Linked DNA regions of Astyanax mexicanus. The protein of the gene in region 4 purifies or fractionates together with the protein of the main gene of each other region. This does not show direct contact. Links are inferred from orthologs where the notes say so. Each region holds a gene or a part of one and is shown on either strand. Other genes may lie near its edges. The genes, in order: zgpat, cd2bp2, sart3 and prpf4.

Evidence for each region.
Region 1: the proteins of prpf4 (region 4) and zgpat purify together in Homo sapiens (affinity purification with mass spectrometry; 4 studies listed by BioGRID and IntAct, counting the BioPlex papers as one, with this or other methods). This does not show direct contact. The link is inferred for Astyanax mexicanus from reciprocal best matches to the Homo sapiens genes PRPF4 and ZGPAT.
Region 2: the proteins of prpf4 (region 4) and cd2bp2 purify together in Homo sapiens (affinity purification with mass spectrometry; 3 studies listed by BioGRID and IntAct, with this or other methods). This does not show direct contact. The link is inferred for Astyanax mexicanus from reciprocal best matches to the Homo sapiens genes PRPF4 and CD2BP2.
Region 3: the proteins of prpf4 (region 4) and sart3 purify together in Homo sapiens (affinity purification with mass spectrometry; 5 studies listed by BioGRID and IntAct, counting the BioPlex papers as one, with this or other methods). This does not show direct contact. The link is inferred for Astyanax mexicanus from reciprocal best matches to the Homo sapiens genes PRPF4 and SART3.

The regions. Positions count from the first base shown.
Region 1 is NC_064423.1:17,420,639-17,427,553, reverse strand, and holds the start of zgpat (zinc finger CCCH-type with G patch domain-containing protein), read right to left. Parts: upstream 3,018-6,915; 5' UTR 2,913-3,017; intron 1,398-2,912; 5' UTR 1,373-1,397; coding exon 774-1,372; intron 502-773; coding exon 368-501; intron 233-367; coding exon 68-232; intron 1-67. Other genes in the region: rtel1 (regulator of telomere elongation helicase 1), read right to left, coding at 4,492-4,547, 4,926-5,048, 5,220-5,447, 6,737-6,838. UniProt on the Homo sapiens protein: Transcription repressor that specifically binds the 5'-GGAG[GA]A[GA]A-3' consensus sequence. Represses transcription by recruiting the chromatin multiprotein complex NuRD to target promoters.
Region 2 is NC_064426.1:15,180,432-15,188,427, reverse strand, and holds the start of cd2bp2 (CD2 antigen cytoplasmic tail-binding protein 2), read right to left. Parts: upstream 3,022-7,996; 5' UTR 2,940-3,021; intron 1,817-2,939; 5' UTR 1,816-1,816; coding exon 1,741-1,815; intron 540-1,740; coding exon 407-539; intron 1-406. Other genes in the region: mylpfa (myosin regulatory light chain 2, skeletal muscle), read right to left, coding at 7,972-7,996. UniProt on the Homo sapiens protein: Involved in pre-mRNA splicing as component of the U5 snRNP complex that is involved in spliceosome assembly.
Region 3 is NC_064429.1:3,642,170-3,649,815, reverse strand, and holds the start of sart3 (squamous cell carcinoma antigen recognized by T-cells 3), read right to left. Parts: upstream 3,001-7,646; 5' UTR 2,989-3,000; coding exon 2,788-2,988; intron 1-2,787. UniProt on the Homo sapiens protein: U6 snRNP-binding protein that functions as a recycling factor of the splicing machinery. Promotes the initial reassembly of U4 and U6 snRNPs following their ejection from the spliceosome during its maturation.
Region 4 is NC_064408.1:18,604,133-18,611,453, reverse strand, and holds the start of prpf4 (U4/U6 small nuclear ribonucleoprotein Prp4), read right to left. Parts: upstream 3,016-7,321; 5' UTR 2,826-3,015; intron 1,847-2,825; 5' UTR 1,815-1,846; coding exon 1,652-1,814; intron 1-1,651. Other genes in the region: anaphase-promoting complex subunit CDC26, read left to right, coding at 4,120-4,200, 5,852-6,034. UniProt on the Homo sapiens protein: Plays a role in pre-mRNA splicing as component of the U4/U6-U5 tri-snRNP complex that is involved in spliceosome assembly, and as component of the precatalytic spliceosome (spliceosome B complex).

The DNA.
Region 1 (6,915 bases), on a different chromosome or scaffold from region 4:
ATTGGTGTGAGCATTTCAACTTCAAATTTTCCTGGGGGATTCTCCACACAGACTTAAAGAAACAAACCTTTAGCATAACCTGTTTCACATTCCTCAGAGTCATCTTCCGAGTCAGAGGAGGAAGAGGAGGACTCATCCGGTCGCAAAGGGGGAATAACACTATCAGCCTCAAGGACAGCTTCCTTTAGCAGCAAGGAATCAAATTTAACCGTGTAGAAGCCATCCTCGATCTCTGTGAATGTGTATTTAAGTAAAAAAAAAAATTAAAAGAATAAAAACAAATTTATACAGAAAAATTAAGCATGAAACTGCCATGTTCATCATTGACGTTGAAATAAATCTTGACAGAACGGCTGAGGAGGTGTACCTGTGATTTTGGCAGGATACCAGATGCCGTCTTCATGCTTGGCCAAACACGAAGATCCTGCCTGCATTTGTGTGAGATCTGCTTCAAGAAATTCCCTCAGCTCGGACACACATACCACCTCCCCATGGGAGTACCTGAGTGACAACAAACAAAAAGACAGGCAGAGGCGGCTTATTATTTCCATATTACCCAGAGATGGCTGAAATGTCAATCACAAAACCAATCCAGTACAATAACACATGCAAATATGCTTCCACCTGAATGAATCTAAATTCTGTGCAAAATACCCAATGAAAAACAAAACACCAACAGATTGGTGCCATTTCCAATCTCAGGGTTATATAAACTAAAAATGAAAAACTCAAACTAATAATTAAACTTAATTAAAAAAATAAGGTTTTCATACCTGCAGCTATCCATAAAGCGGCACTTGCCATCCAGAAAGAAAGGGCAGGGCTTTATAGACTTGTGTGTAGGATAGAGGTAAAGGACTCTCACTCGAGCCTCATCCCCATCTGGTTCCTCTGAGCACACTACCATGGCATTGTGGTACTCAAGTGTTCCCCAAGAGGTGCGATAAGGTGCTCGTACTTTAGTACCACTCATGTAGTCATCTTCTTCTTCCTCCTCCTCCTCCTCATCATCCACTTCCTCTTCATCATCATCAGGCCCGCGGCTTTGTGCTACCTCCGCAGCACTTTCAGAAAGTCCAGAATAAAAGGCTGCAAACTCATCATCCAAATTGTTATTCTTCTTGGACAGTTCTTGGGTTTCTGCTGGCGCTTCCTGCTTTGTTTGGGAATCCTCAATTGAGGCAAAAAGTTGGCTCTTCTTGACTGAAATCAAGCTGGATTCAGTGAGCTCAATAAGTTGTACAAGATCCTCCTTTAACTTCAGCAGGTCTGCCTGCTCTGAAGCACCCAGACCACAAGCAAGTGCAGCTTCTACCTGCTGAAGCTGAGCATTGTAGGTCTCAATGGCTTGTTGCAGGTTGCCTTCATCCATGGTAGGGAGCTATGAAAGGAGGTGCCTGCAGATAAAGAGGAATAAGAGAATAATGCAGTAAAAGCTTTTATATAACATTTTTATTCTGTAATTGACTTGGGTATAAGAGAAAACAAGTTGTATATGTTATGCAAAGTGTAATTATGGTTATGAGACAGAAAGGCAGATTTAATCCTTTATGCCATTAATTGTATTCTTAGGGAGAAAATATATCATTTGTGAAAGCATGGAAGTCCCTGTGGATATAACAAACTTAAATTTAGATTTAGAATTATGATGACAAGCTATTCATTTGAATCAGGAGTTTTAGAGCAAGGAAGCTCCCAAAACATGCAGGCGAGAAGGTGGTCTGTAGGACCAGAGAAAAGAACCACTGCTACATCAAGCTTAATCTAACTAATGTGGTACAACTTAAAAAGGCAACAAAAACAGTTTACAAAAACAGTAAGAATATAAACAGCCAATTATATATTTTTGCACATATTAATACAGCTTGCAAAAAATTCTGAGTTTATTTGATTCTTAAACCAAGCTGAACTGCTTGAATTTTTGCAACCAGGAGTGGAAAAAAGCTTTCCAAAAGCAGTGTGTAAGACTGGTGGAGGAGAACATGCCAAGATGCATAAAAACTGTGATTAATAACCAGGGGTATTCCACCAAATATTGATTTCTGGACTTTTATGAAAATAAACGTTTTTTTTTTTTTTGCATTATTTGAGGTCTGAAATCTCTGCATCTTTTTTGTTATTCGAGCCATTTCTCATTTTCTGCAAATAAATGCTCTAAATGACATTATTTTTATTAGGAATTTGGGAGAAAAGTTGTCTGTAGTTTATAGAATAAAACAACAGTGTTTATTTTACTCAAACGTTTACCTATAGATCCAAGATCAGAGAAACTGACGTGGTCTCTTACAGACAAATTAAACAGGGGATAGGGATAAGGATAGATATAAAGAACAAGGAAAGGGAGAGAGTGGGTGGGTAGATAAGTAGATAGACAGATATTAACGATACATGAATGGATGGAAAAACAAAAAATGTGGTTTGTTGCCTATGGGCAGCACTATGTCCTTGATAGTTAAGTACATGTATCTCATTCAAAACGTAGTATTTGTTTTATTAGCTAGATAGTCTCGCCAAAATATTACAGAATAACATTTTTACTGACGAGCTTCTGCCTTCTGACCTTCTCCACAAATCAAGCTAACTAACTACCTAACCAGCTCACTTCCTTCAATAAAACCACTCTAGCTAATAATTAGAGTAACCAACTACATGACTGGTGGAACAAAAGTGTTTTTTTAAATCTAAAATTAACTAAGAATATCTGTGGAAGTCGCCATATAACTACCTCAACACAGTGAGCTAGCTAAACCTAGCAAGCTAATAACAAACCCGGCTTGTAGCTAGCTAGCATTTGGCTGTCTAGCAGTTAGCTTAGCTAAGATAATAGTAGCTGTTTAACAGCCTGGTGAGTTTAGTCTTCATTAAAAGATATTAAATAAGAAGTAAAAAAACACTCAGTATTTATATCTTACGTTACATAGTGTTCACGTCCGAGCGAATAAACTCTGCTGCGTTTCTGTAGTTTAAAGCTGCCCTGTGCGGCTCTGTAGCAGCCAGGGTTGCCAAGTCCAACGAAAATATGCAGCCCTAACTCAGTCTTAAACCCGCCCTTCAGAAGCTTAAACTAGCCCAAAATATGTCTGTTACACGTTTGAAGTAAATGACAAAAAACAATACGTGTACGACTTTTGTACACTTTGAGTATTTTGTTCATAAGGGATTTATTATTAGTATTGCTATTTACCTAAAAGTCATTAATAATATTGTAACATTAGTAACATTTAATAGTAACATAATTAGCAAAAAATGACTTTTACTGTTCTTGCCCCTCCTGAACTCTCTTCTCTCCTCTTTAATATTTTATTTTCATCGCCCTGTGATATCTTTTTTTTTTTTGTTAATTTTTTTTTTTTTTGGCGGCTGCGCTATTTTTTTAAGTAGCCCCCCCCCCCCCAAAAAAAATGCACCCCGCCACCCCTAAAATTTCAAAAGAGAAAAGATTTTTAAAACAAGCCAAATTTGGAGGAAAAAACGCGAACCTGGCAACTCTGACCGCCCACAGAGACACTACCTCAGCGACGTCACTCACATGCTCTGTGAACCTGAACCTTGGGGATATAATATGCTTTTTTCATACATTTACCTAGATATAGAGTATATTATTAATATCTTTATTTGTTCTGCTGAGAGTTGTAATGCTGTGGAGACAAATGAAACTTAAAAAAAAAGCAGAAACATGAACAGCAGGATTGGACAAAGGAATAATGATTTAAACCATGTATTTGAGGTAATGCAAAAATACTCCCTTTGAACCATTCATTACGTAACAAAAAGTACAATGTACTTGCCTTGACTATAGAAAGATATTATGGCTTTTTAATATCCTGTCTTTTTTTTTTTTACCAGACTCAATTGCTTAATCTACTCATTTTACATGAAAATAACCCTTATCTTAACTCTAAAAATAACAATTGCCTTTAATATAATGTCATTAATTATTTGGACACTAGTATCTATTAAAATATTCTAAACATAACACAAACAATTTTCATTAGATAAACTTATTGAGTTTATATTAAATAAATAAAAACTTGTATAAAACAGGCAAATAAATACATTTTACTTTATTGTACTGCTTTACTTATTCAAATAATGTATACAGGCATAGCCTAATTACATTACAGTAAATTACATTAATTTACTTTACATAACTATCCAGCACAGGTTCAGAAAGTTTCAATGTGCCTTGTCACAGTTAATATTATCCACAAATGGGAAACGAGACAAGAAATAAGTACAAATATATATTTTAATATAAATTTGAAAAAACACAAATACCATTGTTTTTATTAAAATAGTTAAGATAGCATAAATCATACATAATTTTTCATCTTTGGTCAATGAAACATTACATAAACAACCAAAACAAATCCTGCTTTTTTTTGTCATTCTGATAGAGAAAGAGTTCACTTAATCCTAATTAATCTGCATATCGGATGGTATTTCTACTTTTAACCAAACAAATCAGTATGTCTGGCTGGATTCCCCTGGTCAGGAGAAGAAGGATGATATCTTGCTCTGTGATTTTCCTGCTGAGAGTTGTGATGCTGTGGAGACAAATGAAACAAGACTAAATCAATATTGCATTATACTTCCACTATTAAATATATTTTAAAATATAATGACAGAATGAAGAATGAAAGAAATCAATGTTTTGTTTTTCAAAAAGCTGAATCTACTGCAGAACATGTGAGGTTTGGACTTGAAATGAATAATGATTTCTTCATGAAAATCAATAAGGATTAACAAATACATGTTGTGCTTATCCATGGAATCTGTGTAAATATCATCTGAGCCCATATTTATTAAAGTCCTACGAGTACGAATGCTGATATAGGACTCGACCATAATCTTAAACAGTAGTGCTTAAAGGACTTTCTGATCTTAGGCTGTGATGTATGTTAAATGCAGGCCCTGAATTCTACCTGGAACTGGGTGACTGGAAGCTTCTTCTGATTCTTCACAGGTCACTGAAGCACTGCCAGTCAAAGACTTTAACATCTCAGAGAACTGCTGACTGTGGTGTGGCGGGATGAACACAGATAACCCTAAACAAAAAAAGAAAAAAAAAAGAAAATCATCAGCAAAAGTAGCAGTTAAGTTTTCATATTTCTCTACTTATTTATAATAAGTATGTTTCTTATAAATAAATATTATATTTATTTATAATATTATAAGAAACAGCAAAATGTTTTCCTGGGTATGGGATTAAAACTCACGTCTTAAAAGGACAATGTCTTCGTCCCGCTCTGTCAGCAATCCCACAACTGTTGATACCATCTGCTCATAATTATTTGTTTTCTTGTACGTCTGCAACGCTATAAATAGTTGATTGGTTTTTTCAGAACCAATAGCTTTTTTAATGTCGGACAGAAGGGTAGCGCTGAACTGGCCATCTTTTCCTGACGTCTGTGGCTTCTGTGGTTTCTGATCCTTCACTGCACCCACTGTAAATGGAGAAAAATAGAGCAAATACCACATTAGAAGTACCATTAGACCTTAAGAGGTTGAAAATTGAGGACACAACACTTATTCCAGCAAACTAGTTTATTATTTATATGTGTGTGGGTCATTATTTGTGTTTTTTGGCATATACTTTTAATCTTCTAACTATTTATCATATTTATAAGACTTCAGACTACACAGAAACCCACCTCTGCCACTTTTTTATTTTTACTTGCATGTATTCATGTGTTTGTTCACCCTGTCATGGCAAGCTGCATGACAGGGGTGGACAATTTAAATAATAGAATTAATTTAATGAAAGCATGGTTGACTCAAAGCTGAGGATACACTTATTTTGATTCAAAAGATACAAAGATTTGCTGAACATTCAGAAAGTATCTTCAGTCCCTTTATTAAAATTAAATTAAAAATTAAACAGTGTGAGGGTTGTGATCACGCGGATGTCAGTGGTTAACTTCTTTTTTTGTAATTCTTTATTTTTTGAAGTGTGTCCTTCCAAGAATTGACATTTACAATGTACAATTTTTCTTTTGTTATCACTTCTGATATTAAAATTATCACATTTTATTTATGCCTTCAATATAAAAAAAGTATACAGAACAAGGAACTATTAACACGGAGGATGCCTTAAATCACTGTGCAATAAAAATGAAGTAAAACCGATGAGAAAGGAATAAAATATATGTTTTCTTGGTAGTAGTTAGTCTGTTTGTGTTTCAGTGAAATCTGGTCTTTCATTCTTTATGTAAATTGTCTATTTTGACAATAGTTTTGTACATTTTCACATCTGCAGCCTTATGGCAACTTTTTTTTTTCCAAAAAAAATTTACATTACATATACTGCATTGACCATATTAATCCATTACTGGGGAGTGGTTAATGTTTCTTCTTTAATGAAAAAGCTAAATAAATAATTGTCTAAACTGTCTAAATTACTATATATTATATATCTTTAAAACTTTTAGAAAACATACTTATATTACAAAAACGTATTTTATTTTTGAGTGTATTGTTACCAGAGTTTGTATGAATTATTCTACTGACACAAAACGCATGTTATATTAATACGGACCCTAATCTAAAAATAAACAAGATCTCACCAACATAGGTTCAACTATTTTGACCAACATTAGCATTTTTTGCGACATTAGTCTGTAAAAGGACTGAACGATATAGACGGAACAATAGCATTGCAATATTTGTGTTCATTTTTTTATTTTTTAACATAGTGCATGAGTAGCAAAGCTTAAGACAGATTTTGGGTACATACCACCACACAAATTGTGTGTTCCCAAATGAGAGCCGCCTTGATTCAGTTGTTTGCTCGAGTCTAGTTCTTTGATTGTGGCTTTTTCAGTAGTTTCCGCTTTTACTGTAAAAAAAAAAAAAAGAAAAAAAAAAAGAAGAAGTAGTAGCCATCGGTTCACATCAGTTTTACACGTTTTTTTT
Region 2 (7,996 bases), on a different chromosome or scaffold from region 4:
TTTTTCCTCTATCAACTGTGGCACTTCTGGAACGTCTTTGTCTGTTCACAACTTGGGGTAGTCAATAGAGCATAAGATTATACACTACATGAACACAAGTATCAAAACACCTCCTAATTTATTGCTTCTTCTATATTTTAAGCATTGCAGTTAAGATATGATTCATATATGCACTTAGAATCAAGAGAATTATTGATCTCCCATTATAAAGTTACTTTTTTATTATTACAGTTAGTAGTAGTAGAGGAAGTAATTAGAATCTGTACAACACCCAACAAGTGTCTGAATAGAATTATGACAGTATGTCCTCAGCTCACTTCCCACACTGACACACCAGTAAACACACGTGAAAAAGAGAACATATTAAGAGAGAGAGTGGACACACCCTGACAGGCACAACACCTACCTTCAACATCATCACTGGCGAGAATATTATATTTGTCGCCATTTTCTGCCTCATCACCCTCGTCTTCCTCATCACTGTCCAGAGAGTGTTTCTCCTTGAACCTGGAGCCTGGACCACTCACCTCATCATACATCTGCACAAAAACAGACAGAGTATCAATTAGATTATATGTACACTTTGTGGCTGTTAAATGTGACTTCTACCCCTACAGACTACTACTGTCCACACACTCAATAAATCAGTCAGATTCTAACCTCTACAACATGAGCAAGACCAAAGAGCTTCCTAAGGATGTCAGGGACAAGATCATAGCCCTGCACATGGCTGGAATGAGCTACAATACCTTAAGTAAGATGATGGGTGAGAACGAGACAGCTATTGGTGCAATAGTCAATCGACATTGTTCGGGGCTCCAAGCAAAATCTCACCTTGTGTGGTATTCAGGAGGATGGTGAAAAATCAGCCTAAAACTACACGGGGGAACTTGTTAATGATTTCAAGGCAGCAGGGATCACAGTCACCAACAATACCATTGGTAAAACATTATGCTGTAATGTTGCAGTGCCCGAAAAGTCCCACTGGTCAAGAAGGCACCTGTGGATGATTCATAGGCCATGGCTGGGTCTTGCAGCCCAACAATGACCCAAAACATACAGCCAAGGCAACAAGGTCATGGAGTGCCCTAGCCAATTCCAAAGAAAACTTATGGAGGGAGCTGAAGCTCCAATTTGCCAAGCAACAGCATCAAAATCTTAATAATTTAGAGATGATCCGCAAAGAGGACGGGACTAAAATTCCTCCTGACATGTGTGCAAACTTCATCAATAACTACAAAAAATGTCTGACTGCTGTGCTTGCCAACAAGTGTTTTGCCACCAAGTATTAAGTCTTGTTTGCCAGAGGGATCAAATACTTATTTCTCTCTGCAAAATGCAAATACATTTGTATAATGTGATTTCTGGATTTTATTTTTTATTTATATTCTATCTTTTACTGTTAAAATTATAGACCGTTCATGTATTTATCAGTGGGCTTACGAACTTACGAAATCAGCAATTGATCAAATAATTATTTCCTTCACTGTATTCACATATACTGTGTATCTGCCTACTAAGCCTACAACATTTAGCCCTGCCTTCTTTTTACACAAGTCTATCCCAACCATTCTTTATCCCATAAATAAATGCATACAGATGGCAAAAGACGATCAGCAACTACAAACAGACCTCAATATACAACTTAAAGAGGGTGATGATTTGCTTAGATGATTCGTCTGATTTACTTGTCGAACTGTTGCCATTTCATACAGGATTGATGGACAAGTATAAACATACCTTCTTCTTTGGAACTTCATCATCCAAACTGAACTCTCCATCTCCATCCTCAAATGTGACTTTTCTTTTTGACATTCTGGAATAAAGTTTAAGAGAGATTTCAAGAGTATGTTATACACATAATACAGTAACATTAGACAAAATACATTAATAATCAATACAAAGATTGCTGTATTCCCAGTTTCTATCCAACCCCTTGTTTATCTAACTAGTCCTTCATTAAAGTAAATCAGATGAGTTGCTGGAGAAACTCCATACAAGTCCATACAGTGTCTGATCACTGACTTTATGTTTCTTAGGTTGACTCTAATACTATATAGATTTAATTACAGGTAGATATTCTAATGAACACTGACTATGTTTATTGAGTTTACTCTAATACTATATATAGAGTTAATTACAGGTCACTGTTCACAGACTTTATGTTTATCTGAGTTTATTCTATTGTTATATAGTTTTATTTACAGGTAGACACTCTCACTGACCACTGACTTTATGTTTATTTGAGTTTTTTTAATGTTATATAATTTTATTTACAGGTAGACACTCACTAAATACTGACTGTTTATTTAGGTATATTCTAATGTTATATATAGATAATTATAGATAGAAACTTATAATGACCACTGCCTTTGTTTATTTGGGTTTATTCTTATGTTATATAGAGTTTTACAGGTAGACACACTCACTGACTTTATGTTTATTTGGGTTTAGTATTCTAATATTATACAGAGTTTTACATGTAGACTCTCTTACTGTTCACTTGCTTTATGTTTATTTGGGTTTATTCTAATGTTTTAATGAGTTTATTACAGAAAGACATTGTCACAATCAACTAACTTTATATGTATTGGGTTTATTAGATATATGGATTATATATCTAGCTGTATTGTTACAGGTAGACACTCTCTCTGTACGCTGTAACAGTTTGCAGTAACGTCATTGTTTTCAGTGCTGATATTAATAAGATCAGTAATGAGAGTGTAGGTAAGTGTGTGAGTGATTAGCAGCCTATGCTAAGCTACAGTCACTGAGTGGCCTGTGTTTGCAGGATTAGAGGATATTTAGACTTTTTAGAAGTCACAATTTAGAAGTTGTGGTCTGCGGACAGTAAACACATTTCAGCAGTGTGCAGGTCCCTCGTTTGTTAAAGCGGAGGGTAAATCTGATGTTTATAGTGGAGAAATCGAGCTGTTTACCTTTATGCTGTGGCTGATTTTCCCTCTGCGCCATTCAACTGCAGGACGGAAACACCGCCTCCTTCAGCTGAGAGCCGTTTATCACAGCGCCGCCTGCTGGAGACACCGCGCAACCACCACTTACACTGTTATACAGCTCTGAAACTTCTGAATCAGTTTCTATGATTTTGCTAGGTATATAGATTTGAGTAAAATGAACATTGTGGTTTAATTTTATAAACCACGGACAACATTTCTCCCAAATTCCAAATGAAAATATTGTCATTTTGAGCATTTTTTCTTCGCAGAAAATCACATTTTTCGTGCATCATGTCATGTTCTTCTTCACCAGTCTTAAACACTGCTTTTGGATAACTTTATGTCACTCCTGGTGCAAAAATTCAAGCAGTTCAGCTTGTTTTGATGGCTTGTGATCATCCATCTTCCTCTTGATTATATTCCAGAGGTTTTCAATTTGGTAAAATCAAAGAAAAACATCATCATTAGGTGGTCTCTTATTTTTTTTCCAGAGCTGTATAGGGTTTAGATTACAGTTTACAGCTTTTTGATGCAGTTCTTCAGAATTAATATTTGCACCACAGTGTGGCCATTTCTCAAAACAGTTTGTACAAACAGTCACACATAATAGATAAGCAGCTAATGATTTAATTTCACTCAGTTCATGACCCAGAGGTAAGTATTTATATCAGTGAGCATGTTAGAGACAGAATGAACATTTCTTTAGTCATTGATTACAAACAAGACAGTCTAAATGATTAGATCTTTCAGTTTACTCTGTAAGGGTTTACTCAATGCTAATGTTTTGGTGTCAGATTGAAAAATTATTTAAAAATTCTGCACTTTTTCCTGTGAATCGTAAATCAGTTTTAGCAGTACAACATACACTACTGTTTAAGAGAGCCTTACTGCAAGAAATTGGACATTTTTTCACCTTTATTATTTTACTGTTTACTCAGTTATTTATTGATAGATCATCTTGTTGTTCCACAGAACAGACAGACAAGACTGTCAGTACATTGTGTTTAATCAGGTTAAATCCTGCTTCATCCATTTGTTTTGAATGTTGAATGTTTTGCTTCATTCCAGTTTCGTTATGTTGCATTCCAGAATTTACAACATGACATGAATTATATTTTAAATTTTATATTTTGGGAAAATCACTAGAATGTGCTTAGTGTCCAAATGCTATTAGCATAGCCGCCATTTAGCTATTTTTCATGTTTTTGCTAATTCTATGCCAAAAACTCAGTCCTTTTACTTTCATTCCTGTTACTTTTTATGTTTTGAGTGACAGGAATGAAAGTAACAGGAGCGAGTTCCAGTAACAGGAATGAGTGCCATTAACAGGAGTGATTTTTTTGTCTATTATATTAAAAATTCAATTATTTACTACAGAATTTGATAGAGAGGAGTTTTTGAAAAGCTCATTCTTATTTCTCATAGGCAAAAACCCTTTAGACACAGAACCCCGAATCTGGGCATACGAGGATTACAGTACAGAATGACACAGGACTGCAGTGGTCTAATGGACTGGAGCTATTTCACAAAGCTGCAGTACACGCCAGCCACCACTGGGCGGAAGCATTTTACCTCAGATCACTTTTAAAATCGCGAAGTCTAGAGGTCAGTTTGTATAAATTATACACGGTGTTATTTGATGTAGAAACAGTAAGTGCTTCTGTAGAAAAGCTATTTATATTTTAACATAATTAAAACGTTATTTTAAGAATAACCACTTATTGAGCCACACATTTAATCAATTATATAATATTCTCCTCCACAGCAGTGCTCTCTCCCACAGACAGTGATGTGAGAAGGCTGAGTGTCATATTCTGAGGTAAATAACACGTTTCTCTACAAATAAAACTGCAATATTCTACAGTGATTATGGTTTATGATATTAAAATACAAATGCCAAATAAGTAATACAAAATTAAAAGACACTTGCAGTTCCAGGGGCAGTCTCAGTCTGGTGTTACTGCATAGATATGCTGCATAGTTACATCTTTTATTTTGAAATAAAAATCACACTAATGGCATTACTAACTGGCATTTTTTTCCTAATATTTCACTGTTTCTTTTAGCTATAATTCTTTTTTTTTTTCATTTAACTCATTATTACTCATATTAAGAGTTTAGGAGGAGTCTCTGTAACTTACTTTATTCTTAATAAAATGTGAAAAATAGAATACAACTAGAATAAATAATATTTAGATAAGGTCTGCAGTTCTTTGGATGTTGTTGTGGGGTCTTTATGTGACCTCTTGCATGAGTTGTCGCTGCACTCTTGCAGTAATTTTGGCTGGCTGGCACTTGTGGAAAGGTTCACCACTGTTCCACGTTTTTGCCATTTGTGGATAACGGTTCCCACTGTGGTTCACTGGAGTCCCAAAACTTTGAAAATGGCTTTATGAACTTTTACAGACTGATAGATCTCAATTACTTTCTCAATTGTTCCTGAATTTATTTGGATCACGGCATGATGTGTAGCTTTTGAGTATATTTTGGTCTACTTCACTTTGTCAGACAGGTTCTATTTAAGTGATTTCTTAATTGAGAATGGTGAGTATGGTGGTAATCAAGCCTGGGTGTGGCTAGAGAAACTACTAACAATATGGAAAAATTTAAAGAAACATTCCTAAAACTAAAAATGCTGACACAAGTTTGCAGCGATGTTACCAGAACATTTAAATAAAAAAAAATGTTCTAAGAACATTCTGAAAACTTGACAGATTGAACGTTCTAAGAACATTAACTATAACCATTTTTTTGAGCTGCGATGGACCATAGACTTATATGCGGTCTGTATGAACACATAACTTTTTCACTTGGGAGTCAAACAAACCTGTTACAGTGGGTATTTTGCGCTCTGAAATTCTCTGATATGACTCTATGGATCTGCCATAAAATGTAAAAACTGTGATTACTGCCAATTTGACAAGCAAAGTCTCTGAGCTCTGTGGGCCACACCCTCACTACTAAGATCTTGTGACAAATTGTATTCAAAGGGGCTTGACTTATATGTCTCAGACTTAAAGGAGAAATCTGGTGTAAAATTGACTAGGGGTGTAATGAAACATGATAACAAGTACAAACTTTTTTGTTGAATATTCCACCTCCATTCTCTCCAGCATTTCGAAATACAGCACTTTTAGGCTTACAATGTTAGCAATAGGGTAACAGTGTTGGCCAGATAAAGAAATCGCTATTTTTGCACCATTAACAAGCTCAAATTAGCTCAAAACTTGATTAATAAAATTCTGATGGCCCTGTTATTTAAAAGTAAGCATTGAGACTTCAAAAAAAGGGCACTGATTGTTTAATAAAAAAAAACACTGTTTGTACACACAGTACAGTGATGTAGTTTTCTGGGCGTTGCCATCTTAAAATGAAGTCATGCAACATGTTGCAAAATTAATTCTGTGGAAATGCATGAATTTTAGCTGTTGCTGGAAATATTTCTATATAATATCCACTGACTTTATTTTGCAGTCTGTTGCAATGTGTTACTTTTGTTACAATTGACTAAAGTTAATGGTCTGATCTGTTACTCCAAATGACCAGAGTTTTATTGTAAATAAAAGAAGTGTTTCCGGAATCCTTGCTCAGCTTGTTTCAGGGTGGTATGTTCTCACTTTGTTTCTGTTTCACCAGGTTTATTGTACTTTCGCTGCACCTCTCCCAGAAACACCATGCTACAAATGCAGACCTGCATTTGCTGGTAGCTGGTTTCAGATGGTCTGAGATGGTGTTTGAAAGCTGTTCCTCCAGGGGAAACATACCCTAAATTAACCAGCTTGTGAGTGGCATAGTGAATGATGCATTCAATTATGGTCATGCTTGGTTCTGCTTGTCATGATGGTTGATCAACTTCAGTCATACTGGTCAAGTTATTGGCCATTAACCAGCTAAACCATCAAACCCAAACAAAAAAATACTCTGTGCTGGTCAAGAACTAAATTGGTCAATCAGCTTGACCAGCTTGAGCTGGCATTTTTGGATTTGTAAAGTCTGGAAATGTCTATAAACGTGGATGGAGATACTGCAGTTGTTCTTCAGATCTCCTCACCCAATACTTCATACCTAATCAACAGACCTCAGCCGCTACTCCCTGTAAATTAGCCAGTATGGACAGACGCAGAGGTACGAAAGATAAGATTGCTTTATTCACAGATTCTCTCTTTTTATTGGTTACAGAAGAGTTGGTGACAGAGCAAAGCGAAGCCCAGGTGAGGACAGCACAAAATACATGGGGAACAGAGGAGTGGAGAGGGGGAGAGAAGACGGAAATGGGTTCTTTCTGTCGCCGCTCTCCATTCCTCTTCAGGGTTTTCATCTTTCTCTCTTTCTCCCTCAGTGAAAAGTCTGCCATCACTTTTAGGAGGCGGAGCTTTCTCATGGTGCCATTCCTTTTCTTATCCTCATGCGTTTTGATGTTTTAGATTTGTTTTCTACTGCTGAAGGAAGAGCACCAGGGTCTGGAGCACAACACGGGGGTCTCTGGATTCCTCTATTGTAGAAAGAGATCCCTCCATTTGGTTTTGCATTCCCCAGAGCGAGAACATAAGAATACGAGCACAACAAACTCTTTCAGATCTACCTAATTAGCTGTTGCAGCCTAGGCTGGAAAGAGACACCTAACAGTGAGTGTAGAGGTATGAAGGTAGAAAAGGTTGGAAAGAGGAGAAATGAGTGGTGAGCAAGAGAGAGAGACAGAGAGAGAGCTAGAAGGAGAAATGGAGATGATGTTAAAAGATTGTAACATTTTATTGAAAACAACCCCGTTTTCCCCACTGACGGACACCACAGACATTAGCCTCTCCGCTCTTCTTCTTGGAGTCTCTAGGAGACGAGTCTTTTCTGGAGGAGTGTGTGAAGAGGAGACACAGAGGGAACAAGTGCTGGTGATTAACAAAAGAAAGGAAAGGAAAGAAAAGAGGGACAGAGGACAGACTGGCAGGACAGAGCAGTGAGGGACGGCGGGTCATCGCTTCATCTTCCTGTTCTCCGCGCTGTTCCTTTCATCCCGTCTTTACTCCTCCTTCTCCTCTCCGTGT
Region 3 (7,646 bases), on a different chromosome or scaffold from region 4:
CATTTAGGTGCTCCTATCTGGGGTGCTGTTTACTTGTGGTTCCTGAGGCTGGTAATTCTGATGAACTTATCCTGGGCAACAGATGAATCTTATGCTCTTCCTTTCCAGGGGTGGTCCTGATGAGAGCCAGTTTCATCAAAGTTTTTGATGGTTGTTGCAACTTGGCCCCTTTTTTGTCATCACTTTTTACGTGGATACACAGGATGTCAGGATACACAGGCTGCTGTTTTTAGGAACATATTATAATAGTTGTTTTTAGCTAGCAGAGTTGGTACTAATGGTATGTGGGTTATATAGCTTACAGTTTTGCACTGAAGCCTATTTTTAGTGCACACAAATTTGTTTTTGAGGTGTGTGAAATTTATGATAGTTTGAAATGTTGTGTAAGATAGAACAAAAATCACAGAAGTCTGTGTTAGTGTTTGGCCACAATATTGAAAAAAGCTGACATTGTAAAATAAAAATGGGCTTTAATTTAGGTTTATGAGTTACTCTACCGTTAGGAGTAGACATAAATCACATTAATAAATGTGCAGACGCGCGGAGCTCACCGCTAAGCAGCGCTTATCGATGGGCATCACAGCTGGAACACCGGTACAGAACATAAACAACAACATTGCGTAACGGGAGAGGAGAAGCGCTGGATTCATGTCTCACTTTCCCGCCTGTTTAACCTCCTACTAAAGAGCTCATGTAGCGAATAGAGCTGGAAATAATAAATTAATGTTCTGCTTTCTAACAACTGCTTTAATTAAACTTTAAAACCAGGAAATATCTGTTTATTCACGCCCACGGTCACGGCGCGCATTTTAACCAGGAGGCAATACAACGTGCGCTTCACAAAAACAGGACAGAACCTGGCAACCCCAGCTATATAACCTATCTAACTAACCAAATAACACAGATAAACATCAGCTAACCTGCTAACTAACAACAGATAGACGCGTCTAACATAAGCGAGCTCTCAGAAAACCCTCCATTAATTAATAAATAAACGCAGACCCCTGAGGACAACATTAGCTAGCTGAGCTAACCCACGCAGCTGCAGCTAACTACTGTTTAACTCGGTTCAGTTCTCTCCAGACCCAAAGCACAGCTTAAATAAAGCCTAAAAGGGTTCTGATAGAGGAGATAAGAGAGACAGCTAGCTGTGTGTCCGGCTAACTGTCCAGAGAGTGTAAAAATGTGACACTTTACATCATTTTGGAAAACTGCGCACCCCAAAGCTAAGCTAACGTTAGCCAGTTAGCTTGTATTTGGTAGTAAAGTTTGAATCAGCTTACTGAACCGATTCTTTCAAACGGTTCCCTTGAACTGAACGTTGAACATACGTTCAGAGTTTTTACACTGTACATTTAGTATTAAAGATAAAGCTATACAGGATTTATCTTTTTAAACAAAACAGGATATGTTTTTATGTTGGTTTCTTCTAGGTATACAGATCTGCACACTCATGGTATTTAACTCTCTCTAAAAGGTGTCTTCATAAGGTAGTCACCTGGAATAGTTTTCTCAGCATCTAGTAAATCTATAGAAAATAAGAATATAATTGGAAAGTTACTCTATTTCATTAACTCAGTTTAAAAAATGTGAAACTCATAGATTATGTAAATGCATTAACCACAGAGTGATCCATTTTAAAATTTCATTTCTTTTATTGTTGATGATTATGGCTTACAGCTAATAAAACCCAGAAAATCAGTGTCTCAGTAAATTAGAATGTTACATAAGACTAATTGGTACTTTTGGCACTGTGGTAAGTGCCAAGTCCTGCTAGAAAATGAAATAAAAAAAAATAAAGTTGTCAGCAGAGGGAAGCATGAAGTGCTGTAAGTTTTTTCAGGAAAAAACTGCACTGACTTGGAACTTGATATAACACAGTGGGTCAACACCAGCAGATGACATGACTCTCCAAACCATCACTGATCATCAGTAAATTTTACATTTCATTTGTAAATCAAGAAATCAGAGTCTGGAGGAAGAGTGGAGAGACACACAGTCCAAACTGCTTGAGGTCTAGTGTGAAGTTTCCACCAATCAGTGATTGTTTGGAGAGTAATGTCATCTGCTGGTGTTGGTCCACTATATATGTTATATCACACTTTTTTCTAGGAAGACTTCTGCTCTGTTCTGTTCTGTTGTGCTATGCATAAATATCTGCACGTTACTGGCTCAGCGCATGTGCATTTGTGTGTTTATCATGCGAAATAATTTTTTGTACACCTATTGTAAAAAAATGTGCTTGAGTGTAATGAAATTCTAAAATGTGACTGAACCCTTTCAGATCTGAATTATGTTCCAATTCTGGAAAAATAAGGCTAAATGAAGGCTGTTTTCTTTCTGTAATGCACACAACATATATTAATCTTACTAATATTACTATTCTAATATAAAATATATTTTTAATGAATCCAAAAAACTTACTTTTTAATTCCTAAACATGATATAAAGTATTCTGAACCATAAAAATTTGTAAAATTTAGCTTGTATTACTTACATGGCACACTTGGCACATTTTAATCTACTATATCTGCTGGTTTAGGAGGTAGATTGTAAATTCTAATTCTTCTAATTCTAAATAATACACACTATAATAGCAGTTTGACAAGGGGCACACATTGACAGAACACTAATGAATCGGTTAATGATTCTAACTCATTGAACGAACTGAACCTGTTCAAATGAACCGATTCCTGAAGGAGGCGGACACCGTTAGCCTCCGCTAGCTTAGCTGCGTGTGTTCCTCCATTCATTCTCAGTTACGGAGCTGTTAGACTTAAAGCCCACCTGCTCCTCCAGCCGCTGAATCTCCGCTTCGTTTTCCCGCTCGTCCTCGGACGTGTCACCCTCGTCCTCCTCGTCGGAATTCTCCACACCCATGCCCTCCTCGTCCTCGGACTCCATCTCCCGCTCCATCTCCTCGGCCTCTTCCTCCTCCTCCTCAATATCTGGCAATAACGTCTCCGCTTCGTTCCCAGTTGCCGCCATGTTGCGAGTGATCTGCCTGGTAACAGAGTTATGTGTGTTTCGCTTCCCCGCCCACATTCCGCACAAGCCCTGCCCTCTGCGCGCTACGATTGGCCAGTGAACCGCGAGCCTGCGCTATGATTGGCTTGTATTTCATACACACAAGTACCCCTGTGAGTATCAGAGAGTATGAACTGTTAGCCAATTATAGCGCAGAAGGCGTGGTCAAGTAAACCAATAGAAGCCGAAGGGGCGGGATTTGTACAGCATAAGGTGGGAATTTTAACAGCGCCTGTTTTCAGGTCAGGGCTCGTGAACAAACATTCGCAGCTCGTTTCCCGCCAAGCGGAGGAGAAAAAGAAATTTATTTTTAATTATTTGTTTCTGACAGCAGTTTGTTGAACATTTTAACTTGATATTGCGCTATTCCACCCAATGGCTGCAATTTGCTTGTTGTAACTCTTCCAAATTAAACTTAGTTTTTTTATCCTTTTTCAACTATGAATCTAATAACACATATGTCTAAGCTTGTAAATGGTGGTTACAAAACTCATGTAAGCTTAAAATGCATGTTTAAAAGCAAGTCCACTGTTTCCTTTCATTTCCTCTCAAGAAAGTTTTTATTTTAAAGAAATGGTTGACTGCATGTCTAATAATTGATATTTATGACAAAAAAAATCACTCCTGTTACTTTTTGTGTTTTTAACAACAGGTATAAAATTAAGAAGAATGAGCTTTTAGCATAGAATTTGCAAAAACATGAAAAAAGCATGAGGAAATTGAGCACATTGAGTGATTTTCCCAAAAATTGTATTTTAAAAATAAATAAGATTTAAGAATTAATTTAGATTACAGGACAGAGTGTTGAGAGTGGCCCCCTCAGTCAATAGTTACAATAAGATCAAATACACAAAAAATATTAATTTTTGTCTTCCCATGGTCTTCAGATGAACCAACTGATGTCACTTCATGTTGTAGATGTGAATTGTAGAATGTTCCAGATGTTTCAGATGGGGTAATGTGTTACGGTAACTCAGGCACACAACTAAAATGTGTATTTTAACTTAAATATAATGAATCTATTGTGGAAAAAAAATTAAAGCATATTTATTACATCTCTGAAGGAATTTGGTCAGTGTACAAGACATTATGCTCAATAATAAAATGTATTTTAAAGTAAAGTTTTTCCTGTGCACATTTATACATGTAATTTCCTGGGGAAAGAAATGTCACAGATTTGGCGGAATATGACATATACACTTTATCTTTTTTTGTTGTTTTATATGTTCTATTTACTTTATATATTATTCAGTTTTTTTCATGTATGAATATGTATCTGACAAATATACTTTAAAGGAGTAATGCCAGAATAGACCCATTGTTTGTTTCTACAATTACATGGCATTAGCGTGAAGTCAGGGTCACATGTCAACCATCTAAATGTTTAACCACTTCTGCTCATATATTTAAAGAAACTGTTTGCCAGATTTTTTTTTTCACAATTTTATGTTTTTTAGTTTAGGATACACAAATAGAATGACTGTAAGAACTGTGGGCAGGACGCTTTGCATAACTGTACCCTCATGGATGTTTTTATTTTATTTTTTCCTTTTTATGTCAACCAATTCTGTGCGGTTTCTGATTCTTCCTGTTGAAATAACCAAATAAAAATAAATAAACAGCCCAGGAATTAGGCGCCATACAGACCAGCCAATCAGAAAAGAACAATTTGCATATATCAGTCTTAAAGACCAAGTAGCACAATCTGAGACTTAGTTGTAGAAGATGCAAGGTTGGAAAATGACATGTACAAATACATTTCAACTGTTTTCGCTACACAAACTAACAGATATATACAGCAAAATAGAGAAAAAAAGAAATCAGGAAATTGGCCATAAGTTCACTGATGTTTGGGATTAGTAGTTTTGCCTGCAGGACGACAGAAGAAAAAGTGTTTTTTACTTCATGAACTAATTCTGGCATGGCTGTATTTCTAAAACCACAGTGAAATAGCCATTTTACCATCTCTTGAAAATAAATTCCTCAAATGGAATGGACTTTGAATAGAAATCCATCCAGCAAATTTGAGAAAAGCTGATTAAAATATATACCAGACCTAACTAATAATGATGTGTGAATAAAGCTGTTACATTGTAAATAGTCCTGCAGTTACAGGGCACCATTTGCTTATTCTATTGTATATGTGAAAATCTTTAACAGCAGCAACATTAGCAGAGCATTACTACCTTGTTGTTCAGCCTCGCTGCTCTTTTTCCCCTAAAAAAAATAAACTGGACTGTAAATGAAGTTAAGCAGAGTTTACAGGAGACAAACAAACTATTATGTATTTAGGACGGGTATGTTACTTTCATTTTAAGTATTTTTTTATCATATAAGTAGGTAAACCTGTAAAACTGTTATCAAACATTCCTCCCACATTCTCTATTACCTGGTCTAATTTAAATAGCTAAAAGTGGAAAGTTCCTCAGAACTCAGAATGTATTTTTCAGACCTCTGCTCACACTGGACAGTAAAATCCCATCATTTCACTTTACTTTTCTCACCTGTACCTTCTTTTTTCTTTGGTAAAGCAATCCAATATTAATATATAGTTGCAAGAAAAAGTATGTGAACCCTTTGGGATTACTTGGATCTCTGCATAAATTGGTCATTAAATGTGTTCTGTTCTTCATCTAAATCAGAACAATAGACAAACACAGTCTGCTTAAACCAATACCATACACATAAATATATGTTTGCATGTTTTTTTAACACAACATGTTAACATTCACAGTGAGGGAGGGACAAAGTATGTGAACCCCTAGGCTAATGACTTTTCTAAGAGCTAATTGGAGGCAGGATGTGATGAGATTGGATGTGTTGGTTAAAGATGACCTGTCCTATAAAAACCAATGCCAGTTTAGAGTGTGCTGCTCTTAAGAAGTATTGCTTGATGTGAATCATGCTTCACACAAAAGAGCTCTCAAAAGACCTACGTTCAAGAATTGATGACTTGCATGAAGCTCGAAAGGGTCACTAAATTATCTCTAAAAGCCTTGATGTTTATGTTTCCACGGTAATACAAACGCTCTACAAATGGAAAAAGTTCAGCACTGTTGCTACTCTCTCTAGGCGTGTTTGTCCTGTAAAGATGACTGCAAGAGCACAGCGCAGAATGATCAATGAGGTGAGGAAGAATCTTAGAGTGTCAGCTAAAGACTCTCTGAAATCTCTGGCACATGCTAACATTTCTGTTGACAGATCTACAATAAAGAAAACAGGACACCACAGAGGAAGCCACTGCTGTCCAAAAAAACAATACTGCACGTTTGAAGTTTGCAATTGAGCACCTGGATGTTCTACACAGCAGTACTGGCTAAATAAACTGTGGACAGATGAAACCAAAACTGAGTTGTTTGGAAGGAACACACAGCGCTATGTGTATAAAAATGCACAACACACCATCATCAAAACCTCATCCCAACTGTGAAACATGGTGGAGGGGGTATTATGTTTTGGGGCTGCTTTGCTGCTTCAGGGCCTGGACGGATTGCCGTCATCAACAAAAAAATGAATTCCCAAGTTTTCCAATACATTTTGCAGGAAAACTTAAGATCTATCCTCCAACTGAAGCTCAACAGAGGATGGATGATGCAACAGGACAACGACCCAAAACCGAATTAAATCAACAACTGAACGGCTTCAACAGAAGAAAATCCGCCTTCTGGAGAGTCCTGTCCTCCTGAACCCAATTGAGATGCTGTGGCATCATGGCCTCAAGAGAGCGATTCACACCAGATATCCCAAGAATATTATAGCTGAACTGAAACAGTTTTGTAAAGAGGAATTCCTCCTGACTGCAGGTCTGATCTGCAGCTACAGGAAACGTTTTTTTTAGGTTTTTGCTGCCAAAGGCGGATCAACCATTTATTAAATCCAAAGGTTCACATACTTTTTTCACCCTGCACTGTGAATGTTAACATGTTGTTTTCAATAAAACCATGCAAACATATATTGTTTGTGTAGTATTAGTTTAGGCAGACTGTGTTTGTCTATTGCTGTGACTTAGATAAAGATCACAACACATTTGATAATTAATTAATTTAGAAATCCAAGTGATCTCAAAGGGTTCACATACTTTTTCTTGCAACTGTATACATGGCTGATTAACTTGCCACACACAGGACATATTAGGACTGGGGCATAAGTTGTCTCATCATATCTCTATTATTCTGAAACATTAATTATCTGATAAACATACATACGGTATTAGTCTAGCACCTCACCTTTAATATAAACAAACAGACCCACCAATAGCACCACAGCTAACCCTATTCGCTCTGGTTTGAGGAGTTGACAGTGGTTGCAGTCTGCACCATTAGCTTATCACATTAAAAAAAATGTCAGAAAATAACACTGGGTTATTGTCCTTTTTAACATTGATTGTGTGGGTTTGTATTTTTGGTTTCGAATAAGCATTACCTAGGAGAGACACATTGGAATTTCTGGGTCTCTGAGTCCATCTCTCCTGAAAGTAAGACAAAAACAATTCCAAATCTGGTTTATGGTCTTGAGATCAAGGACAGACTGGAGTACTACAACACTAGTATTTTTTAGTGGCTGAAATTGCTAACAACTAATAATAACCCAGATAAACACTTATTTCTAGCAGTAGGCTG
Region 4 (7,321 bases):
TAAATTGCTGTTTGTGTTTTCACACTTAGGCTATTTGCTTAAAAAAACAAACAAAAAAAACGTTTGTTCAGGAAGTATTTTATATTCTTAAACATTGTTAATTATATTAGAGGACAGTCATTGTAAACTGTACTTGGTCTATTTCGGTTAAAGGATTGTGCAGGGCATATTACTGATTTTGTATTTTTGCACTTGGGCTATAAGCTCAATATTAAATATTTCGTTTGTTTAGAAATTATTTTATATTTTTAAACCATGTTAAATTATATTAGAGTAGAGGAAAGTCATTGTTAATGACGTTATTGTACTTGGTCTATTTCGGTTTAAGCATTGTGCAGGGCATATTACTGATTTTGTATTTTTGCACTTGGGCTATAAGCTCAATATTAAATATTTCGTTTGCTTAGAAATTATTTTATATTTTTAAACCATTTTAAATTATATTAGATAAGAGGAAATTCGTTCAGACATCATTTTTGTAGGCCAGGCTTTTGTAACCGATTTAGCCCCTACTGTTGCCACATTACCCCTTACGTTTTATTATATAAATCAGTTTCGAAGAGCCTGCATTTTTTTTTATCATGTATAATAGAGGTCTGTGCGAGACTGATTTTTAAACCCACTCTTCCACGCTCCCGCGTTTCTGTCTCGTTACCGCTCCGCAAAAAAATTGCTTCTTTTAATCCCGCGCCCGCCCGCCACATACACATTTCTGCCGCTCCCGCCCCACGTTCCTAATATAAATTAAATAAACTACATTTAATGCTTAAAATTTACTTTATTTATTAATTTGCTCCCGCATCGTCTGGATTAAACTCCCGCTCCAGCCAATAACAGTTCAGTTCTGTCCCGCGCGCAAGATATTCTGACGGGACCCGCGAGAACAGAAGTGGTTAGAGTGAGGTGGAACTCTGGAAAGGAGGAAAAAAACGAATATCCGAATACCAAAATTAAAAACCGAATACCTACTCAACGAACGAATATCCGAATACCCGAATATTCGGGTCCAGCCCTAGTTTGCTGGGCAGAAGATTTTCTAGTGTTTTATTTGTTTTACACACACACACACACGTACAAAAGAATGTTCACATTTCCATATATATATACATAAAAAGTGAATATTAACTACACAAAATAGTTACACAGAAAACTAACAAACAAAGAAATAATAATCTAGTGTGTCCTAGACACCTCATCACCTCTATTCAATCCTGATTTTCCCTTGCACAACTTCCTCCACTGTTCAATTTAATAGTTAGGATTTACTGTCTTTAATATTAGTTAGATAATGTTTTGTTCACTCGTTTTTTAAACTGTGTTTTGCTATCAGTTTTAGTTAATGATTCTGGTAAATAATTCCACTCTTTAATAGCTCTATAAATTACTGTTTTGCACATGTAGTTAGTTTTAGCTTTTGGTAATCTGAAATAATGTTTGGTTGAATATCTGTGGTATTGGTTTCTCTCTCTATTACTTGCTCTAATTGATGATAAAAATCCACTGGATGTTGTTGCTCTTGTGTATTCTTTATGAATCTCATACCTTTTAAACTATAAAACATTTTACCACAGTGTCTCCATCTTAAAACATTATAGTGAGTTAATGAGTTACATTTAAATAAATATTTTCAAGCAGCTCTGCAAGGTCTTACCACTGGAGATGTTAATATTTCCAGCCTCAATTCCAGCTTTAATAGCATCTTTCCCAGAGCCTGAGGATCCCTCACGGCCAAGACGCTCCCTCTCCTTTTCTTCAAGACTTCCATAGAAGATCCGAGACCTTTTTACCAGAGGGGCTTCATCTTCATCAGACATCTTTCAAGGGGCTCAACTGAGTTCAGCACCACCTGTTTGAAAGAAAAAAGGTTTTAAAAGGTTTAAACTGGGTTTAACTTACAGGGGCTCCATAAGAATGAATGTTCTATTTTATGCCAACCATCAATATTCACTAACTAGCAGCTCTGCGCTTGCGCTGATTCACTTTTTCCATTTTTATTGTGTTTCATGATAATTCTGTTTTCCATTGGTGTTATACAATCTAAACTCACTCTTATTGTTTAAGTGTTAATTGAGATTTTAATATAAATTATGAAAAAACTATGTCATTATCCTATATATTTACAGTGATCCAAACATCTATCCACATATCCTACCTAGACTTGTCGACTACTTGTCTTACCAGCTGTTCTATATAAGCAGCTTTATTAACAGAGTTAAATACTCTTTATAACGTATTGGAGCACCCAATCACATTAAACAATAAATAAGTATTATAAATAACTATACAGTAGTAATATATTTAATAATTATCAAAATAGTTATAGAGAATATGAATAATCTTAACAGAATAAAGTATTTTAGATAAATAAATGCCCTATCTTACAGGGACTAAACAAATTGGCAATGCACAAAGAATGAATATGAAAATGAAGTCTAATGTCCATCAGGTGTTTATGTTTATATGTGCAATGTTTTACAAAATAAATGTTTTTTTTTATATATTGGATAAACAACCTAAGCTCGCTCACTATAATAATAATAATAATAACAATAACAATAATAATAATAATAATAATTAACAACTAAAATTTTATTGTCTTGAATCTTCCTTGATACAGTGATTTAGGCTACCACAATAACTACTTTACCTACACTGCCGGCTGCATGTTCTAACATGGTGCTTTTTGTATTTTTACCTTTAAATAAACCCTAGAGTAGCACGTTTTTACAAGATAGCACAACTCAAACGAACACAGGCGCTACAGCTACAGTAACGTTACTAAAAAGGCACCAGTGCAGACAATTCAAGACCAAATCAGCACCAACCTGCCCGAGAAAACACTTTAATCCAGCTGTTTTTGAGTTTACGAGCCCTTCTACTGAAACTACACAGCGTCCAGGAAACGAAGAGGCTTTTTACAGCTTATTTAAATCAGAATCTGAAGTAAAGTTGTGGTTCATAGTCCCACACTGCCCACTCCGACACAACCACCACGATCTGAGCGGCGCGCAGGAACTCGTCACAGCTTTGAACGGAGAAAAGCAGCGCTGCTCGCCGCAGCGACATCTACCTACCGGAGACTGGATCTGGAGGACTGAAGCGGGGATTTTATAAATATGTTTTCAGCTTTCAGATCTCAAATATGGCAAAGAAAACAAGTTTATAAGGTTTTAAGTTTAGAAATCAATAGCGGATGGAAAACCCCGAAAATCTTATAATTTTAATAAATAAAATTTAAATAATTTAAATAAATATTATATAAAAAAAAATCTTGGCATGTTCTTCTTCACCAGTCTTACACACTGATTTTGGATAACTTTATGTCACTGCTGGTGCTAAATTGCAAGCCGTTCAGCTTGGTTTGATGGCTTTTTAAGTGGTCTTTTATTATGCCAAAATGCATGAAAACTGTGATTAAAAACTTTTTATTTCTAAACTCTTAAAACTTTATTATTATGAACATCTTTGCATTATTTTGCATTATATAATAATATTATTATTAATAATAATAATAATAATAATAATAATAATAATAATAATAATAATAATAATAGTAGGAAAATAAAAATGTTAAAAGGAAAATAAAAATGTTAATGTAATGTTATTATATTCTAGCCTTTATGGAAAAAAAAATACAAAACGGAACTACATTTCCCAGAAACCCTTAGCTAGAGTAGTTACCAACTTCCGGCAGACAAGGCAACAACCGCCAACTTGCTTGCTTGGCGTTAAATGTATATATCGATATTTATACTCTAAATTCGATATTAAGTCGGGGCTGTTCTCGACACTGCTAACGCTAGCTATATAACAGCTATAGATCCAGTAGTAAACGCCTTTATGGGTAAATAACGTGCTGTTAGAAACACAGCAGCATTATCATACTGGACCTGTTTACTATATTAAGCTAGCTTTAACTTAGCTCTTTAAAAAGTCATTTCTCCATAATATTTTGTTGAAAATGACGTTTTTTCTGCTGTCTCGGTGACAGCTTATAACCAGCGCTGTGCTGAACCGTGGTTTTACAGCGGAAACAGCTGTGAAATATCGATAAACAGTGTATTTCAGTTCTATACATAGCTGTTAACTGCAGTATTAGCTACCCAGCCTCCTAAAATCATGCTTCGCCGAAAACCAACACGACTGGAGCTGAAGCTGGACGATACCGAGGAGTTTGAAGGAGTGAAGAAGGAGCTTGAGGTCAGTTAATCAACTCTATTAATTAATTAAAGGTCTCATTCCATCGTTTTTTAATAAATTGTAAAATGTCTGGTTGTGGCCTATAGTATGAATGAATGCCACGTGAGCTGGTTTTGAGAAAAAAAGTGCTCCGGTGATCTGTTATAACCATGCTTTAGTCCTGTGGAGGCGCTGAACGGAGAAACGATAGGATTTTATGAATATTCATACATGCAAACATATCGCCTTTAATTGGCTAACAGCACTGCGAGACCAGGAGGCGGACAACAGTTAGAAACGTTTTAAAATAAAAACATTTTTACTCTAATAACAGTCTTTGCAATGTCATATGTTACTTTACAACATGTATAATGCCGTGCTAAGTGCAGTTCAGCCACTGACCCACCAGAGAGCCTATGTAAACCTACGTAAACAAACAGAGGTGGGTAGTCCAGGTCCAGAAAGTAACAATCCACCCCGCAGCAGAGAGGAAGTTGAAGCAAGTGTAAACAGAACTGTTATAAAAATACACCTACCTATCTCAATTGTACTTTGCTGGTAATGTTCCATAGACAAATTCTAACCATTTGTTCCTTAGCTCTGAATTACTGGGCAAAGCATATAACACTGATGTGATATTTGCACAAATAACACAGGAACAAACTGCAATGCTGTTTCTAGCTCTGTTACGTCCTATCTGACGAGATTGATGTAGACATGGGTGCTTTTCCTGATCGACTCGTTTTTCTGAATATTTTCTTTTATTAGCTACTACAGATGGAGGTTGAGGAAGAGTTTCTTGTGCAGCATGCATATACAACTCAGAGAGACCTATTGTATTTCACCAAAAACTAGAAAAAGTGGATTTTAGAGGAAGGAGACCTAACCTAACCTAACTATTTGAAATTGCTGGTTTGGAAAAAAACTTTATATTATTATTATATATGAATCTGATACACACTTCAGAAGATAGCACATTTTGTCTGAACCTACCCATTTTTCTTTTCATCCTGAGAGGGTATAAATATGTGTTCGTCCATTGGCCTAATGCTGGACATAAAAGTAACACATTCTAAAAGTTTTTTTTTGCTTCTACAGCTCTGTTTTAACAGTTTAAGAATAAAAATGCTTTAAAGTTTTTTACATTCCATATCACTAGTTCTGGCCTGGTTTCTAGAACAAACTGTCAAAACTGCAGGTTATGAAATTGTTGGCGTCATTTACGTTAAATCAATGTTTTAGCCCTAAAATATTTACATATATATGATATGATCTGGATATATATAATAATATTAAAAATATCAGCTGAGATAACTACTATAAAATTTGGCATAAACCATTCTGAAAATCCCTGATAGCAAAAACAATCATTAAATAAACATTTATTTAACATTGCCTAAAGGGCTAATCGGATAATGTTGAAATTCTGACAATGAAATTTTATGTAAATCAATAGAAACACATGACTAGTCAAAATTACACTTGGATTTGTTGACCTGATATGACTAGTCAGAATGTCTGGATTTATAGGATATGTCTGGATATATAACACAACTAAAATGTTGGTAGGACTTGTGGCATTTTAAGCTAAAATGATTTGTGATAAATGTCTGTCTCAGATACTGTAAAGTCACTTTACATTATTTATTTTTTTATTTTTTATCGTTTTTAGAGTCGGAAGAAACAGCGAGATGAAGTGGATGTGGTTGGAGTTCCAACATCAAGTGAGATGAGCGGTGCTTCAGGAGGTGCTGAGGGCAAGACCAGAGAGCAGATGATCCACGAGCGAATCGGATACAAACCTCACCCAAAGCCAAACACTCTACCATCATTATTTGGAAACCTTCAGTTTTGAGCGGAGGACTGTGTAAAGTGTGCAACAGTGCCATTATGACTTTAAAGTAACCTGTTTTGCTATGGGCTGAGAAGAGGATCAAAGTCATAACCACTGCATTTTAAGGACTAACCAGGCAAAGTTGTTTCCTTGCTTATTTTTGCAAGCATTCTCTTATTTGTTAGAGATCAATAAAATCTCCCTCTATTTTCTAAAATGTCATCTGCTTTTTTTTATTTTTTTTTTTTATAAAACTTAAAAGTACACATAATCTGTTCTGATCTATCAGGCTTTTTCATATCTTAATCTATTCTGATTTATCAGGTTTTAAATACAAGACAGGGAATCAGAAGTCACATCATGCTTTTAATCACATTTCATTATCATTTATATAATTAATTACAGTACTGTATTTCAGACTATGCAGGTATGTTTGACCTGTAAACATTATAACATTGATTCTACACTTGAGACAAACAGATTTATACCAGATACTGTTCTGATTACATTACTTTAGAATATCCCAGTTATTCGATGATGATGTAAACATAGGTTTAGTCACTTCTATTCAGTCTTTATCTGCTTACTGACACATATTAATAACCACACTCTTAAAACGAAAGGCGCTTCAAATGATTTTGTGCATTGGTTTAAGAAAACAATAATGGTTTCTTAAAAATGTTTTTCACACGAGTGTCCTTTTGAAAGATGCAGGCTTGGCATTGACCCTTGCTCTTGCAAGTAGCAAAGATAGTGACACTCTTTATCGTATTACAATTTACAAGTGAGTAGAGCATTTTAATTATGTTTATGCTGATTTAAGGATATTTTTTAGTAAATATCGAACATAATGTTGCCTTCAAAGGTTACGCATATTGACACATCCCCATTATAAAACCAAAAGTGGTTCTTCAATGCCAGCTGAATCACTTTTTATTTAAGAGTTCATTATTAAAAAAAAGAGTTACCTAAAATACATTGTTGGTTAGTGCTATTTTCTGGAGGCTGGTACAAACACAATGTGTTCTTTATCTTGAGGAATTACAAAATTAATTTTTATTTTAGCTACAATAAATCAACACAACAGCATTCTTCATTCACATTTGCTATTAAACATCCTTTCATGTATAATAACTGACTATATATATATTTGTTTCTTCTTCATTGTGCCTGTTTTCTCAATGACAAGGCAGATGCTTCTTTGTTGACTTCATTGACTGGCATTTGTTAAGTCCAAAATAAACAAAAAGGCACACTCCATCAGTGAGGAGCGAGAAGTAAAAACAACACAAAAAATCTAGTTGTTAA